Arabidopsis thaliana: one gene and its partner. The protein of the gene in region 1 interacts with the protein of each later gene in a pairwise test. Each region holds a gene or a part of one and is shown in the gene's direction. Other genes may lie near its edges. The genes, in order: AT5G42530 and WSIP2.

Region 1 (3,260 bases):
ACTCTTTAGGTCACACGGAGGAATTAATTTACTTTGATTGTGATGACCTCATAACAGTCCCACACTTGCTATTTCCAAATCGAACCGGATAAATTGTTGGGTTGTGGTTCAAATTGGTTAAACCAGATTCAATCATTTTTTTTATTTAAAAAAAAAAATCTTAAATATTGAAATTAGATATAAATGTATTTGTTTACCCTAGAATTAGAATGTCAAAAATAAGAAAAGCATTTCTTTACCCTATATAATTATGTTAATTTGTTAAAATAAATGGATGGTGGTCATATGTTAAATGGCTAAGTTAAAAAAAAAAAACTTAATGATTTAATCCATATATTTTTAAAGTTGGGGATTAAAATGTTTCAAATTTGAAAATTCATGTTTTTTTTTCTCTTTCATTTACTGGTCTAGTGGATGGATAGTGATCTTTTAGTATTTCTATAAGTATTTTTGGAGTCACTTTTTATGGGTGGGTTAAAAACTTAAAATGCATTTGGGTACATTTGTTACCGACCCGTTAATCTATTTTGTTTATTAAATCTTATTTGGGTTGTTCATATAAAACTCGACTATTTAAAAATATAAATATTTAGAAGATTTGGTTAAGATTTAAAACTATGAATTTTTTATCATCTTTATTAAGAAAAATTGTGCATATATTATGATTCAAAATTGTAAAAACGGACATATATTATCTAGTTGATGAAAATGTGTAAGTTTAACGTCTTACATTGGTTAAAAAATTTAGACAATAAAGAGTTTTTTAGCATGACGGGTTTGGCAAAATGTTAGTTAATAACAATTATAAACTATCCAATATAAATATTTTATAAATAAATACAGTTTGAAATTTTTTATATATATTAAGTTTAAAAAATAAATCATATTGCAATTAAAATCTAGTTAAGAGTAAAAAAAATATAGTTAAGAGTAAAATAAATCAAATATTGCAATTCAATCTTTCTTTTGGAAGAAGCGATTTGCGCATTAAACGTAACTTTATCAGCAACTGACACCGAACGACATAATATATTATGGACGACCAATAGACCAAAATTCAGAGGTCTAGTTTTTTCTTATAAGAATTAATTAAATAATCACACACGATCTTCGTAAATTAGGGAGTGTATCCAAACACACATTTGGAATGATATGTTCTAAAGTATCATGTGTTATTCAATCATGTGTTTAAAAACTCTTTTAAATTCAAAATCAAATTATTGAAAACAATTATTTTAAGAACAGGTTTGATTGTTAATGATTTTAATGTGTTTTAGAAGATTTCTCGAACTTATATATATAAATAAGTACAGTATATATTTATATAAATCATATGATGCGGTATGGTAGGAACATATCGGATTAATGAATAAAAATTATTTGATTGCATTCTACATTTTAAGAAATTTGAAAGGATTTTAAAGTCTTTTGTGATTTAAATTAATTTTGCATATATAGTTACTATAAGAAAATTCAGGATATTATACTTAGTGTTGGTCATAGATCGGATAATCGAAATTTAAAGATATCTGATCTGTTTTTAAATAATCCGAATCTAGATCTGAAATCAAGGATATCCGGATGTAATCCAAGGTTTAATTATATATGTGATCGGTTATTGTCGTCTAACCTTTTAAAAAAAAGCCTATGAAATATGTAAATAATTGTTTGGGAAAATTTTGCTCCTTTAGTTCTAATCTAAAAAATGCTCCCCTAAACTAATTACAGAATATGACGTAGTAAATATAGGATACTAGAAATTTATAAAAAGATAAATAATATGAAGAGAATCCAATGCAATGCACTTGTCCCACAAACCAAACCATGCATGGCGAATTGGTGATTGAAGACTTTTCACTGAATAATACTACCAAAACTTCGAGACTCATAAGTGATACACACAACTAAGTCGTCGATGGCTATAAGCTTTAAGTCTATCGCTAGACTGTCCACAGGTTTCCTAATCTTCTTTGTCTTTTAGCCTTTCTATATTATCCAACATATCTTTAAATTTCTTTAATTGACATCTCCCTAGCCTATATAAAGGCATAAGCATGAGTGGCACTGATAAGCAAAATAAGAGGGAATATTAAGATGACATCTTCTATGGTCTCTTCCATGGCTCTCTTTCTCCTTCTTCTTCTTGTGTTTCCGCATATGGATAAAGCCCTTGGCGCACAAGAGGAAGCCCAGAAACAAAGTGAGTCTTTTAGATGTCCCGAGGTCATTAGTATCATTTTATGTTTATTAGTTAGGTTTATTATTATTAGTTGTGTTTAATTAATATTGATTTTGGTTTGATTTAATGTTTGTCCGCATTTGAATAGACTAATGAGCAGTGAAATGATGAAAAATTGACACTTACCATCCTACAGGGATTCCTCGTTTCAGATGTTCTCCACGAATCCCCTTTTGTACAAATCCAAACCTACCTTCTCCTCCGCCCCACAGGTCTTTCAAAGGCACACTCGAACCTGGTCATTGACTTCACTCTAGCTTCGAATGCGTGTGAACGTGTGCATGTTTCTTACATTGTGCTTTGGTTTGTGGTTTCTATCCTTGTTTATCTTTGCATGTGTTTGTCATATTTTACAGTTTTATCGAACCGTCGCTTGAATAAATAAATTTGCATGTCCTTTTATGTTTAAGACCGCCTCTCTCTACTTACGTTGGATCGTTCAAACATTTCTTAACATTTGGCACTAGAAATCCATCTCTGACAGGCTGAACCACAAAGCCTAGTATATATTCATTAAAAAATAAATGTGAAAATATGAAATATATGGTTAGTTCATTTAAGCCTTTGATGGAATGAATAATGACGACTTCTTCCCAAATCTCACAAGGGACTGATCTAACTTTTTATTTGTCCAAATTATGGGAATGACATTATTTCCCACAATCATTGTCCATCTGGGACCCTTTGTCGGGCCTTACGTAATAGAGCATTTCTCAGCTAAGACAATGACGATTTAACTTAGACTATTATCTTCTCTATTAGTGCCGATCTGCTTTTTCTGATATCGAAATTGTAAAGCCCAAAATTCATACAATGTAATGAGACGAAAACACTGCATATAATGTAATAGTACTCACCAATAGCCACAAACAAGAGCTTCCGAGGTCGAACCATAACAAAAAGCCTAGCAATGTAATCAAACATACATTGAAACACTTCTGTAAACGTAGTAGGAGAAGATTTGTCTTCAGGATGGAAACACCGATATATATATATATATATATACTTTTTATATGACTAC
Region 2 (3,938 bases), on another chromosome or scaffold:
GGAGAAGGTAACAGTTTAATAGAACAAGTCTGAGTAGCTCTAATTTCGTCTCGATGTGAGATTGATAAACAGAGAGAGAGAGAGACAGAAGTACAAGTAGACTATTTATTTTGTTCTTTTTTATTATTTTTGCACACTTTTTTTTTTTTTTGCTCGCATAAAATAAACAAATTTTAAAAATATATATATAGTATTAAAAAAGAAGCTGATATGGAAAAGTCATAAACAATAAATAAAACTTTAACCAAAAGAAGAATAAAATTTTTGAACGTTAGTATCCGTTGTATAAAAGTGTATATATTAAGTTCCAACTGTATTTTTTTCTCATATCTATTTATTTATTTTTCCTTTTTATTATATGTGTCGTTTTAAAGTTTTTGTTTTACTCTTCTGTAATGTATTATACAGAAATAACATAATTATAAATAAGCTGGATTTTACCAATTATTTAATATAAAACGGAAAGGGTATGTTGTTGAAGATACTTGATGTTTTAAAATTTGAAGTTGTTGTAGTCATTGTTAAGGGTCGGCTGATGAGTCAGGACAACTCATTGAAACCATTTATTCGATGTTTCAAATATTAAACAAATAGACAGAAGATTCTACTATCTTCTTCAAAAATATAATATTAAACACAAGTCTTTGTTTCTTTGCTAGCTCTAGTTACAGAAATTTTGAATTAAAGCTATGAAAATAACTTTACGTTTAGTAAATTGCTAAAATATTCAGAGCGATCAGAAAGGAATGTTTGCTCTCTCATCTTAAAATTATATATTTGAGGTGATGCTTCTTCACCAACATGGGCAGATGGGCTTATGGAACCATTTGCTGATTAATTGCAGTCATTGATAACTGTCTGGGTGTGTCATTGTCATCAAAGTGATTGTTCAAGGAAAACATGTTTGGGACGAAATTGATTCCCAATCATGTTTAGCAATTGGGCCAGTCAATTCCCCCGATAATCTAGACCTAAAAGCCCAAACCAATGTAAGCAATACTGGTGTAGGAATACTTGTAAGAAGATTTGATATGACTCCTACTAGAACCATAATGTGGATGGACTGTTGAAGTAGCATAGTAATTACTAGCCAAAACATCCATGGGAAAAAAAATAAAGTACAAATATAAATTTTGATTTTTTTTTTTTTTATAAATAGAACAAAACTAAACATGTGAATAGGCCATATCTCTTAAATTCCTAACAAATTAGCATAATATATTCACGGAAATGCGTTACAAACCGTATTATAGAATAAAACTCCACTTTTTACTGTGAATTACTATAACAAAAAAGAAAGAATACACATTTGTAAAATTCACTTATTTGTTACCACATAAGATTTATATTTTTCCAAAAGTAAATTATCCATAAAACCTTTAATTTGTTTTTTTGACAATAAAAGATGAAGAAAATAAAATTTAATTAATTTGCGTACTACATAACTGGAAATAAAAATATCACATCTGATTTACTGCTATTCTTCTCTAAATTAAAAACTTCAAAATCCATTACTTAAATAATTAATTCATAAAAAAAATATTTGCAATATTAATTGACGGTTAGTTGATGTCATAAAAATAATATAATGGCACTAAATTCTATACAGAAACAGAAATAAACCAATTATGAGATACTCTACTTTAATGTATAGTTTGAAAAACAAAAAAAAATCCCCAGCTACGTTCAAAACCTAACGAGAGAGCATTAAATTAGACAGCAGTGTTGTACTAGATTCGCAACAACATCAATACGTCACTTAAATTAAAATAAAATACGAAAACATTAAATTAAAATAAATTTTAGAAAAAGTAATTAAAACGAAGGTTACTTATTATAGTGGGGAGATTAAGCTTTTTGAGTAAATTCCTATCTACAAAATACACGCTTCTATTAAAAAAAATAGAAGCCCAACGACCACACAAAAACAAATTAATTAAATCATAAAAACTCATAAATTAAAATAAAAAGCAATAAATCCAAAAAAAAAAAAAGGAAACTCCGAAAACGAGACAGCATCAGAAATTATCGCCATAAATAGCCCCCACGTCTCTCTCTCTCTCTTCTCCAAAGTCTTCTTCTTCTTCTTCTTCTTCTTCCTCTTCTTCCTCTCTGCTTTGTCTCTCTCCTTCTTCAAAGTCAAAATTCAACAGGTATTTATATTTATAAACTTTCCTTTTTTTCTTTAATCTCTTTCTCGGGAGCCTCTCTCGTATATTCTCGCACGTGCACATCTCGTGCCACCTGGGTTTGGGGGGATTCGTCTTTCGAATTCGATCGATTTCGTTTTTTTTTTTAGATCTGTCTTTCCTTTTTTGGGGTGTGAAGAAGATGTTTTCTTTTATAAAACCCTAATTCTCTCTTTGTGTCTTTGTGTTTGATTAGTGGTTCATGAGTGGTATTGTGATCGATCTGTTACTTTCGGAGAGCGAGCAATAAGAAGAGGATATGTCGTCACTCAGCAGAGAACTCGTGTTTTTAATACTTCAGTTTCTCGATGAAGAGAAATTCAAAGATACTGTTCACAGGTAATTTATATTATATCATTGTTTAATTGCGGTCCCTCTTCCTTTGATTGTCGGGATTAGAGTAAAGTAGGGATTAAGATTAATTAATTTTGATTTTGTAATTTAGCATTATTTCTTCAATGTTAATCCAGAAGCAGTTACAACTTTGGATATTTTTTTTGACTAATTAGGTTGGAGAAAGAGTCTGGTTTTTTCTTCAACATGAGGTACTTTGAAGATAGTGTAACAGCTGGTGAATGGGATGATGTAGAGAAGTATCTTTCTGGATTCACTAAAGTTGATGATAATAGATACTCTATGAAAATATTTTTCGAGATTCGGAAGCAGAAGTACCTTGAAGCACTTGACAAGTAAAGTTTCACTTGTGTTGTTTAGTTTTATTGAATTGAAGTGTGGTTTTGAGTATTGATTTGTTTTCCCATCTTTTGTTTTACCATAGGAAAGATCATGCCAAGGCGGTTGATATTCTTGTTAAGGAGTTGAAAGTGTTCTCGACATTCAACGAAGAGCTTTTTAAGGAGATTACCATGCTTTTAACCTTGACTAACTTCAGGTACATTCTTTACTTTCTTAGCACTTTTTTTTTATGGTTTCATTGACCACTGGATTGTTATAAACCATGCGCTTGTGGTGTTGATGTTTCATTTACTTGCAATAATTCAAGGGAAAATGAGCAGCTTTCCAAGTATGGAGATACTAAGTCCGCAAGAGGTATCATGCTTGGGGAACTTAAAAAACTGATTGAAGCAAATCCTCTCTTCCGAGACAAACTTCAATTTCCCAGTTTGAAGAATTCTAGATTGAGAACCTTAATAAATCAAAGGTACAAGCTTTGTTTTTTTAACTTTTGCTCCCGTTTTTCTTTTGGTGGAACAACTAACTGAACGTTGCTTCTGCTGAATCATAGTTTGAACTGGCAACATCAGCTTTGCAAGAATCCTAGGCCTAACCCGGATATAAAAACACTATTTGTTGACCATACGTGTGGGCATCCCAATGGTGCACACACTCCTTCCCCTACAACTAATCATTTAATGGGTTCAGTCCCTAAAGTTGGAGGCTTCCCACCATTAGGTGCTCACGGTGTAAGTTGCTCTAAGATTACAGCTTCTGTTGGATTAGTTTTTAGCACATGAATTTAACTTTGCTAGTTTGTATGCTCTTGTTCAGCCATTTCAGCCAACACCAGCTCCTCTTACAACATCTCTTGCAGGATGGATGCCTAATCCATCGGTACAACACCCTACTGTTTCCGCTGGGCCTATCGGCTTAGGTGCCCCCAACAGTGCTGGTAATGTTGTCCCTACTAATTTTATTCTTCTGAAATATGTGTGTTGGAGATTTAGTTTACCAAATATTAGCTTATACGGTTATGTAATTTGCCATCCCTTGTTTAGATCATCATTAGTT

The links.
Region 2: the proteins of AT5G42530 (region 1) and WSIP2 interact in a two-hybrid assay, tested with the Arabidopsis thaliana proteins (one study listed by BioGRID).

What each region holds. Positions count from the first base shown.
Region 1 is NC_003076.8:17,004,173-17,007,432, reverse strand, and holds AT5G42530 (uncharacterized protein), read left to right. Parts: upstream 1-1,922; 5' UTR 1,923-2,094; coding exon 2,095-2,200; intron 2,201-2,375; coding exon 2,376-2,485; 3' UTR 2,486-2,695; downstream 2,696-3,260.
Region 2 is NC_003074.8:5,370,380-5,374,317, reverse strand, and holds the start of WSIP2 (WUS-interacting protein 2), read left to right. Parts: upstream 1-2,028; 5' UTR 2,029-2,153; exon of another isoform or gene 2,154-2,385; 5' UTR 2,386-2,448; coding exon 2,449-2,528; intron 2,529-2,698; coding exon 2,699-2,878; intron 2,879-2,967; coding exon 2,968-3,081; intron 3,082-3,192; coding exon 3,193-3,351; intron 3,352-3,435; coding exon 3,436-3,613; intron 3,614-3,698; coding exon 3,699-3,819; intron 3,820-3,938. UniProt on the Arabidopsis thaliana protein: Transcription corepressor of Zinc finger transcription factors GAF1/IDD2 and ENY/IDD1 in regulation of gibberellin homeostasis and signaling.